2 linked regions of the Drosophila melanogaster genome follow. The protein of the gene in region 1 interacts with the protein of each later gene in a pairwise test. Each region holds a gene or a part of one and is shown in the gene's direction. Other genes may lie near its edges. The genes, in order: Orc5 and CG8841.

Region 1 (4,425 bases):
GACCACACACTCCTCCGTAAGATTGCCGCCAGCCTAGGTATTTTTGTGCGCTTGCGCGGCGGTCACATTGATTTAATTCAAATTTATTTCCGTTAAATTAATAATAAATAAATATAAAACATTTTCAAAAAATTCCAACAAATCAAATTTCTTGCTGCTTGAAACGATTAATTATTAAAAAACAAACACTTAACATTTGATTTTACGAATAAAAAACATTTTATTCAGTTTGCTATAAAGGTGAAACACTTTAAAACACACACACACTTTCGGAACCATTATGGAAGTTGGTGGGGGGGGGGGGGGGGAAAGAACAATCTCTTCGGTTAATTTATGTAAAAAGGCTTTCGCACGGTACAGAACAATGGGAAAAGCGATTTTGGAAAACATTTTGGCAAATACTTCGCTCCTGGCCAGGCCAACACACTCGCTAACAGACAATAACACGTAACGCTGGTCCGTTCCGGGCCGCACTAGATCTGCAGGTTGCGCATGCCGCCATTGATGCCGCCCTGCTCCACATTCCAAATGACCAGCTGCCCGTCGACGCCCGAGGTGGACACCTTGGTGGCGCTCGCCTTGTCGCCGGCATACAGTCGCACGCTGGTGATGGCGTTCTGATGTATGGAATCGACCACCGTGTCCGTGTTCTCCGTGCGCATGTTGCGGTCCATCGACTGAAAGATTCTCATGGCGGTAATGCCGCTCGACTCCTTCTTCTGCGACTTATCGAGCTTGCCGCTCAGCACCAGCTTTCCATCGGCAGTCAGACTGTAGAGCAGTGGCACACAGCTATAGCCGGCCACCACGACGGACGTGGGCGAGACCCATTCGCATGACAGGAAGGGCAGATAGCCGGTGCGGCATCGAATGACCGTATTGCCATTGGTAGCGTCCGCGATGCTCACGCAGCTGTCGTGGCCCACCCAGCAGACCTTGTTACCGTCGCTGGAGAAGCTCACGCTGTTAATCCAGCCGCCACCCGAGGTCTGCGAGTTGCGGAACTCGGCCATTAGCTGGCCAAGGGGCTTGCGATTGCCCCACGGCGTCGGCGTCGGTGGCTCCTCGATGTCCTTGATGAAGGCCGAGAAAACGCGCACCTTGTAGTCCGTGGAGCCGGCCAGCAGCAGAACGTTGTTCGGATGCCAGTCCAGCGAAGTGACCGTAGAGCGGATCGGCTTCTTGATGTGCTTCGACACCCACCAGTCGTTCTCCGACTCGAAATAGCACACGGATATGAGTCGGGCGCCCGAACCCACAGCGAACTTGTTCTCCGCCGGCGACCACTTGACGCAGGTTGCCGCCCGATTGATGCGCAGCAGCACCAACGCCGGCTTCCACTTGCCATCGTCGCCCTGCGTCCACACATAGGCATTACGGTCGGCGGCACAGCTCACAATCCGATTGGTGTTCTTGGCCCAGTCGATGCCCATGACGCGCAGATCGTGCTGGTTGAGCACGTCCGCCAGCTTCCAGTCGCTGCCCTCCCGGCTGTATATGTGGATCTCATGGTTGTTGGGCGATAAGGCAATCTCTGCGAATTTTTGGGAGTGGGTGGTGGTGAGTCACACTGTGCCGGATGAGTAATTTGGGTCGCACTTACGGGTTCGATCCTTGTTCCATGCGTGGCAGGTGATGGAGGCCAGCGAGGTGCCAAAGGTGTATGTCTCGGCCATCGTGGGTGGCTAAATGCGCTCGGAATGTGCAGTGTTCGCTCGTCCAAATCCAACCACACGCGTAGTTTCTTCGGTTCGGTTCGCCGGATTTTCGGATTTTGGATATCGCTGTGTAGCAATTGGGCGTTGTTTCCGCTGGATTTTAGCTTCGCTCTCGTTTTAATCGCGGACTCTGGGCCGTCAACACGATTAAGCTGGCGTTGCTGGGATGGATTCTGGCTTTGCCTGGGCCGGAAGAGTAGAGCGTTGTGGAAAAAACTCTTTGGAAAAGTAATGCACAAAATTAATCACCCGAAATTAGAGCTGGAACAAAAATCGATGGCCCTCAATACTATCGTTATTTCGTTATATCGATATTTTTCGATTGTTTGAAAAATGCTAAGGTACCAGTGCTGTTACGCACGTTCGGTATATACCAGAGGGAATAATTTGGCGCCATTTCAATGGTCACACTAAACAGAAACCATTTCTTGTAAACAAATTTTTAATAACTGGCTGGCTCGTAATTTATTTTTGTTATTTTATAAACCGAGGAAGTATTTTCCCTTTTGAAAGCCCGTTTAAATAACACCACTTCGCCTGTGGGTAGCTGAGGAAACTTAAAAGCAGACGACAGCTATGGAAGCCATCTGCTCCTCCTTGGAGCCGCTGTTTCCCTGTCGGGAGGCGGCCATTGAAACGCTGGGCGAGCTGATAGGAGATTCGAGTGAGACATATCCCTCGGCAATTTACCTATTCGGACACAGTGGAACCGGCAAAACAGCTCTGACCAGAGCTTTCCTCAAAGAATGTGGAAAACGGCAAAATGTCCGCACAGCGCATTTAAATGCCATCGAATGCTACACCACCAAGATAATGCTGGAGATCCTGTTAGACTCGCTGGCACCCGATCAAGGTGATGCGCTGAAGGTCGACAACATGCTGGACTTTGTGGAGCAGCTGCGTCGGCAGGCCGCTACACGCGTGGAGGATCAGGGATTTCTCATAGCCGTGGATAACGCGGAAAGGCTGCGCGACATGGATGCCAATGTGTTGCCCGTTCTTCTCCGACTGCAGGAGCTGACCAACCTGAATCTGTGCGTTATTCTGCTCTCCCAGCTGCCCTTTGAGAAGTTCTACAACAAGACCGGACTTAGTGAAATCGTCTGCCTGCACTTGGCGCAGTACAACAAGGCGGAGACACAGCGCATCCTGGGATCTGACTTTCAGCAGGTGCGAAATCAACTGCTGGAACAGTTCGCCCAGGATAAGAAGCGTCTGGAGATTTGCCAGGAAGCCGTAACTGAAGACTTCTACAACAACTATCTGAATCTCTTTCTGAGCGTCTTTTACAAAGCCTGTCGCGATGTTCCAGAGCTCCAGCTGACCGCCAGGAAGTGTCTGTCCACATACTTGGAGCCTGTACTCGACGGCACTGTGGATGCCACGGACATCTCCCGGCTTTGGCGGCATATAGCTGGACCACTGCGTTCCGCCTTAACCCAGATTTATATGCGAATTGAAAAACCCGCGGAAGAAGTTGAAGATTTCACCGCCATAGAAGATCAGAGCGTTCGCAAGCTGGCGCAGTCGCTGGAGCTGCCCTACTATGCCAAATTTCTGTTGATCGCTGCCTTCTTAGCCAGCCACAATGCCGCCAAGCAGGACAAGCGATTGTTCGTCAAGCACCATGGAAAACAGCGAAAGCGGATGCAGACGGTCAACGCCAGAGCCAAGGTGGGTTATTCAATTTTTCGATGACTCCATTTGCTTATTTTAATACCTTTTAGACCACGGAGAAAATGTCCACCACTTTGGGACCCAAATCCTTTAGCATCGATCGTTTGCTGGCCATTTTCTACGCCATTCTAGAGGAGAAAGTCGGTCTGACCTGCAACCTTCTCTCCCAGATCTCAACTTTGGTGCACCTCAATCTACTAAGCTTCGTCTCCGGCGAACAAAACATAATGGAAGGTTCCGCTAGGCTGCAGTGCACCATTGGCTTGGAGTTTGTCCTGCAGATTGGCAAGGTGGTGGGCTTTAATGTCCGCCAATATCTCTGCGACTTTATGTAGCCCCTGGTTGTTTTTTTTAGTTTTTAAATATATTTAATAAATAGTCCGGTACATCGCTTATGTGTATGGTCTCCGCCAGCCTTGTGTCCCGGCTGCGCAACTGCATCAGTCCGTTTCTTAGCGTTTGCTCGTTTATAACAAGTGTATAAGGTATGCCGAGCATATCCGTTTCCAGCAAGTGCTCTGCTAAATGAGAAGCGTTCTTCGTCGTACGAATTCCATCCCCTTCAGAAAGTCTAAGACCGGCGTGGTTGAGAACATGTTTCAGATGCTGACAAAGATCAGACAAGTCAGCAGATAGCTCGGAATCACTTTCCACACAGGCAATTCCACATTGATATGGCGCCAGAACGCGGTGTAAGAGCAGGGATTGCGAGTCCCGGCCATGATCACAGCCATCCAGAAGCAGAGCTAAAGGATAATAATATAGAAAGATTTTCAAAGATAGTTATGATGACCACTTACCGCAGGTGGTAGTTTCCAGCTCTATCACAGACCTTATGACAGTCGGTTGCACAATTTCACCCGTTCGCGCATCGGGCAGCCGGAAGTCTTTGTCGTCCACTATTCTCACCAGGCTCAGTTGCTCCACGGTCACTTCTCCTGCATCACCGTAGCTCGTGCGGATATCGATGGCTTGATAGTCGTTGGGATTGAGATCCTCAGCCAAATCGCAAGGTACGATGCGGTAGCGA
Region 2 (6,418 bases), on another chromosome or scaffold:
CAAAGATGCTAAGCCGCTCTGAGCTGAGAAGCTGTAGGGAAAGGAAAGAGTTAGGTCAGAAATAACTAACGAAGCAATTAAGAGTCCCTTACCGATATTAAGTTTCTGCATAAGTCGTCCTTAACCAGCTCCAGCAAGCCCTCATACTTTCCAATATTATCGGCTGCGACTTCAAAAGCTACAGTAAGTAGACTAAGACCCGTGTGCATCATGCTATCCGAGTTCTGCTTATCCAGAGGATTGCAGAGGATTATGAGGAATCGGAACAACTCCTGGATGAAGGGCAGGCCATAAGGGGATAGTGATGTTACATCGTGATCGGTGGACTGCTGTGTAAAACGGACGCCCACCGAGTTGATGTACTCGCTACTATTTGCCTCGGCCAGGGTGCTGGTTGCTTCACCCGTTTCGCCGTCCAGCAAGGGCTCCGATTCAGTCGACTCCACTTGAATAACAGGAGTCTCCGGGACAGTGGTTTCATCTTCCCCCGTGCTCGCCGTTGTTGTTGGTGTCTGCGTAATCTTGCCCTGCATGTCCAATATGTTTCCCGCTGGACTGGCGGGTGTGGTGGCCAATATGGGTGCCTTCAAGTGCCCTGGCACCGTCAGGTTGGCAGACTGCGGTGTTTGAGGCGGTTCCTCCACTGCTGACGATTTCCTGGGTGCTGTCTGGGCTTGGGCAACCGTCTTACGCTTTAGTTTTTCTTGGGTAGCTCCGCTGGCAGCATCGCCGATAGTAAATCGCTTCTGGAGCATGGTGTCACTTCGCTCTTCGGCGAACTGGGGAAGGCGCATGAAGAAGAGCAGCACCATGTCCTTGAGCGATTTTTCCGCCGAGCGACGAAGCAGTTCACTCAGCCTCGGCTCGAAGGAGATCTTGAAGCAGCTGAGCATCACCTCGCACATGGACACATTGCTGACGGCGGCTCCTTCGGGACTGCGGATAAGCGTGTGCAGCACCTCAATCACTCGCATAAAGGTGACACCATCCGAGGACTGATCGGTGCCCATAAAGCGGGCATGTGTCACAGCATCGGCAATGCGCTCCACAATGTCAGCCAGATTTGGAGACGTGGGATCTGTGGATAGGTACAGAATGAGCAAATGCAGAGGGTAAGCACTAAATCATAATACCTATTAGCCCGTAAGACAATAATTTGTTAACCGAGGCCAAGGCTAGACTAGTCAACGGACCCGTGGCGTCCGCCGTGCGAATCACCTCAAGAAACGGAGCCAGGAAGACCTGAGGCTCGATCTGACGCAGGTCCTCGATCCGATTTAGCTCATGCTTGAGGTCAATGAACAGCTTCAGCAGCGAGTCATTCTCGTCGTCCTGTGGATGTGCAAAAGGGCCATATACTTTCTATTCGCAGTGAGCATTAGGGGCACTATTTACCACGTAGGCGGTGGCATTCCAACGCGTTCCACGTCGCATCGCCGTCATCAGGGTGGCCATTTCGCCCCGCACCACGTAGATGCCGTTGCCTGGAAGCGCCATGGTGTCCGCGTGTCCTCCGTTGCGGTGTCTCTACGACTGCAGCTAGTTGGCTTCCAGTTCCAGGGCTAGCGCTGAAAATTGCAGTTTTCGTGGGGCAGGGCAGCTCCTCCTCCCTTCCCGACGACCTTCGCATATGTTTTGGCACTCGCCACTTGCCCACTCGCACACTCACGCTGCCTGGACGAATCTGGGCGTGCTGCCTAGTTGGGCATCTCTCACTAATCCTAACTAATCGAACTGGTAAGCTGCTAATTTTTGGTGACGTTTACGTGTCGTTTATGTTCTTGTGTGCAGTCCGAATATTTTGCACAAGCGTCTTCCAACACCGGCGCGGCAGTTCGTCGCTTCGCAGCACTGGCACAGCTGTAGATGCCAACTCGATGCGGAAATTTCAATAGATTAAATTGAAATACAGCTGCAAGCGTATATAAAAAAAATATAACCTTGTTTTTAAAATAAAATATGTTGCCAAGCTGTCGATCAAATTGATTTAATCAAATTGATATTTGAATATGAGGGCCAAAACAGGTGAGCATAATCAGTCACGCACGCATCTTCAGTCGTGAGCGTTACACCCACCACTAAGTTACACTGGCATTTGGTGCGTAGGCGAATTTCTAATTGGAATCGTTCGATTTTTGAAAAAGAATCGCATTAAATGCAAAGCATTCCTGTTCCAGACTACTGCGCACACTTGCACTGAGGCGATCGAGCACGGGGCAGGTGGATTTACAGGACTCAGCGATACCAAAGCAGCCCACAGGCCGAACAATATGGGAAACACGGACTCCAAGTTGAACTTTCGCAAGGCGATTGTGCAGCTGACGCAGAAGAACCAGAAGATCGACCCCAGCGACGAGCAGTTCTGGGAGCAGTTCTGGCAGGGCCACCAGACGACGCTGGAGGATGTGTTCGCGCTGGTCACCTCGAGCGAGATTCGCCAGATACGGAACGAGAATCCAGCCAACCTGGCCACCTTATGCTACAAGGCGGTGGAAAAGCTTGCCCAGGCGGTAGACAGCAGTTGTCGCACGCAGGCGGAGCAGCAGTGCGTTTTGAACTGCGTGCGGCTGCTCGTCCGGTGTCTGCCGTACATTTTCGAGGACGAAAAGTGGCGCGACTTCTTCTGGAGCAGCCTGCCATCGCAGGACAAGACCATGCCGTTGGCTCAGTCACTGCTCAATGCCACCTGCGACCTTCTTTTCTGTCCCGACTTCACGGTTACGGCCACGCGGCGTGCGGGCCCCGAGAAGGCCGAGGAGTTGGCGAACATCGATAGCTGCGAGTACATTTGGGAAGCGGGCGTGGGTTTCGCCCAGTCACCGCCCCACAACGCCCACATGGAGCGCAGGCGCACGGAGTTGCTGAAGCTATTACTCACCTGCTTCTCGGAGCCCATGTACCGATCGCCGCAGCAGTCCGAGGAGCCCAACAAGTGGATAGCATATTTCACCTCGGCCGACAATCGCCATGCCCTGCCGCTGTTCACCTCGTTTCTGAACACCGTGTGCTCCTACGATCCGGTGGGCTTCGGCGTGCCCTACAATCACCTGCTGTTTGCAGACACCACAGAGCCCCTGGTGGAAGCGTGCCTTCAACTGCTCATTGTCACCTTGGATCACGATATGGTGGTGCAGCAGCAACTCACACAACCCGGACAGGCGTCCTACGACGAGGGCAATTGCGGCGACAACTTGTTCATTAACTATCTTTCGAGGGTTCACCGCGACGAGGACTTTCACTTTGTGCTCAAGGGCATAACCAGGCTGCTGAACAACCCACTGGTCCAGAACTATTTGCCCAATTCCACAAAGCGACTTCATTGCCACCAGGAGCTGCTTATTTTGTTTTGGAAAATATGCGACTACAACAAAAAGTTTCTGTATTTTGTGCTAAAGAGCTCCGATGTTCTGGACATCCTGATTCCCATTCTGTATCACCTAAACTACTCCCGAGCGGATCAATCTCGAGTGGGCTTGATGCATATTGGAGTATTCATACTGTTGCTCCTATCGGGTGAGTCATATGTCATATGTTTTGTTCGTGGAATCAGTGCACTTACACTTAAATAAATGTTTATTGATAGGTGAGCGAAACTTTGGGGTTCGGCTTAACAAAGCATACTCCGCCACGGTGCCCATGGATATACCTGTGTTTACTGGAACCCATGCGGACTTACTCATCACTGTGTTCCACAAAATAATAGCCACTGGCCACCAGAGGCTGCAGCCGCTTTTCGATTGTCTGCTGACCATTCTGGTAAATGTCTCACCATATCTGAAAACCCTCTCGATGGTGGCTAGTGTAAAGATGTTGCATCTCCTGGAGGCTTTTAGCACACCCTGGTTTCTGCTATCGGCACCCAGCAATCATCATTTGGTGTTTTTCCTGCTGGAGATCTTCAATAACATTATACAGTATCAGTTCGATGGCAACTCGAATCTAGTCTACACCATAATTCGAAAGCGTCATGTGTTCCATGCCATGGCAAATCTCCCGACCGATATGGCTGGCATAGCCAAGTGCCTGAGTGGCCGTAAAACAGGTGGAAAGTTTAACTTGCCGCGGGTACCACAGCGAAGAACGCCAGCTGTGTCCCAGGAACTGCCCTCGGCCCACGTGCCAGAAGAGTACAACGAAGAAGACGAGGATGAGGACGAGGAGGAGATAATTAATGAAGAGCCCAAGGCGGAAGAGGATCTCGAATCGGAGACAGAGTCTCATGAGCGATCTCAGGCGGGGGAGCTGCAGTCGGACGTTCTCACGGCGCAGCCAGCCGAGCCAGGAACACTGAAAACGTCCTTGTTGGACACCCCGGGCATTACTCAGATGACGGAGCGGGAGCAGGCGCATCCAAATGACAAGCCTCAGGTGGAGGATTCTACAGACATTGTGCCCTACGACAGATCAGCCGCTTCGACGCCAACTGACGAACGCAAGTCCACCTCACCCACGGAATTGTCCCGCTTGTCGGTGGCCCACAGGGCCAGCATTCGCATGGTGCCTGGCGAGAGCGATCGTTGGACGCCCACGCCCGAGTGGATCGTCTCCTGGCGCTCCAAGCTGCCGCTGCAGACCATCATGCGACTGCTTCAGGTCCTAGTGCCCCAGGTGGAGAAGATCTGCATTGACAAAGGACTGACCGACGAGTCGGAGATCCTCAAGTTTCTGCAACACGGAACGTTAGTGGGACTGCTCCCAGTGCCGCATCCCATTCTCATCCGAAAGTACCAGGCCAATGCGGGCACAACGGCATGGTTCCGCACCTACATCTGGGGTGTCATCTACCTGCGCAACGTGGAGCCTGCCATCTGGTACGATACGGAGGTCAAGCTCTTCGAGATTCAGCGCGTCTAGGTCAGTAAGTGGACTCCCAGCTACACCAGCAGCGCAATCGTAGCTTACACGCTTTGGCATTTACTGTAGTTAATTTATTTAGTACATATTTCATTCCAAATGTTTTTGTGAAGAATCAGTGTGTAATGAACTACCTTTCCCACAATTTTGCTTATTGGCAACAAAAAAAATGAGGCTTATCAGTTACGATGTGGCATTGAGATCCATTCAACAGATTTGTTATCGGCTTTTAGCATTGATATTTAATTGCTTTCCTAATTTGTTTTGAAGAGTGTTCTAAAAAACAGTATAAGCACAAAGTGTTTTTATTTTAGTTAATGACTAAATTATTAAACAACTCATGTTTTTGTAATCTGTGACAGAAAATGTTCCTTGTGCCGTATATTTTATTGCATGGTTTTATTTATTTTATATTTTAATAATTTAAAAATTTCCTGTTTTTACTTATGTATGTATTTAAGGTGCAAATACCAAGAATAAATTACTTTCACTCAGCCACTCTACAAACGATTCGCTTTATCCAAACAAATTTGTAACTGCACCTATTGACACCATAAAAAGCTTTACGTTCTCTTGTAATGATTAGGAAACTTTAGTTGAGTCCAATGAACTGCTTTGTAAACTTAATTAAATATAGACATTAATGATAGAATTGAGAAAGTGTATTAATTTACTGTCTACGTGTGCTTATAAACTATATACACAAACTAAACTTATGACACCTATACAAGTCAGTTTATATAAATCATTTACGAAATATAGAGCAGAACCCAAGATAAGTAATAAATAATAAATAAATTTCATAAAACGAATTGAATCTTGTATTTTAATTTATAAGAATGGCCAAATATAGAGCCAAATGACAGTTACTAAAAAGCAGTTTCATATCAATCGATTTTACATTCTTGTAGGTTGCGTTCACGGTGGAGAGAAAGGACTTCATCCTTTCTTTTACGCTTCTTCAGTCGTTCTGCTTGCTCTCGATCCTCCAATAGTTTGACCAAATGCTGATGCCAGTAGAAGTATTTGAAGAAAAACAATAGAAGCAGCACCGAAGTGGTGACAATGGATGCGGTTGTGATCTCTACGGGCTTTTCGCCTTCCTCTTCCACCCGCTCCGAGAAATGGCGGGTGGATATTCTAAGGCCGAAGTTTTGTTTGCTTGCCGCAACATTGGGCCGATCCATGAGCACCGAAGGCAGCAGCGGTAGTTGTCACGACTGGATTGTATTGGAAGTGGCAGTGGATGCGGGCACTGGTGGCGGAGCTACTGGAATAATCGAGAATTTGATAAACGCGCTCTTGCTGCGCCTTTGCACTATTCTGCCAATTAGTTGTGGTTCCTTAATGGTCTGTTCGATGGCCTTTACTATGCGCTCGGCGCTGCTCTCGTCCGATCCACTGGCATTGCCCTGGATAAGGATGCGAACCTCGTGTCGCTTGCCCAGCCACTTCACAATGTTCTTGAGTCTGGAGGAGAGATCGTGCTCTGTGATGCGCGCACCAATGGTAAGGGATTTCTCCGTTTTCTTATCCTTAACTTTTTCGCTCGCTGATCTCGACT

What was found.
Region 2: the proteins of Orc5 (region 1) and CG8841 interact in a two-hybrid assay, tested with the Drosophila melanogaster proteins (one large-scale study listed by BioGRID).

Annotation. Positions count from the first base shown.
Region 1 is NT_033779.5:13,827,743-13,832,167, forward strand, and holds Orc5 (origin recognition complex subunit 5), read left to right. Parts: upstream 1-2,094; 5' UTR 2,095-2,294; coding exon 2,295-3,392; intron 3,393-3,445; coding exon 3,446-3,730; 3' UTR 3,731-3,746; downstream 3,747-4,425. Other genes in the region: Arpc1 (Actin-related protein 2/3 complex, subunit 1), read right to left, coding at 474-1,534, 1,604-1,676; PolG2 (DNA polymerase gamma subunit 2), read right to left, coding at 3,747-4,141, 4,196-4,425. UniProt on the Drosophila melanogaster protein: Component of the origin recognition complex (ORC) that binds origins of replication. DNA-binding is ATP-dependent, however specific DNA sequences that define origins of replication have not been identified so far.
Region 2 is NT_033778.4:12,321,753-12,328,170, reverse strand, and holds CG8841 (uncharacterized protein), read left to right. Parts: upstream 1-1,912; 5' UTR 1,913-2,025; intron 2,026-2,055; exon of another isoform or gene 2,056-2,177; 5' UTR 2,178-2,270; coding exon 2,271-3,513; intron 3,514-3,583; coding exon 3,584-4,854; 3' UTR 4,855-5,664; downstream 5,665-6,418. Other genes in the region: garz (gartenzwerg), read right to left, coding at 1-31, 93-1,078, 1,134-1,332, 1,396-1,497; mIF3 (mitochondrial translation initiation factor 3), read right to left, coding at 6,069-6,418.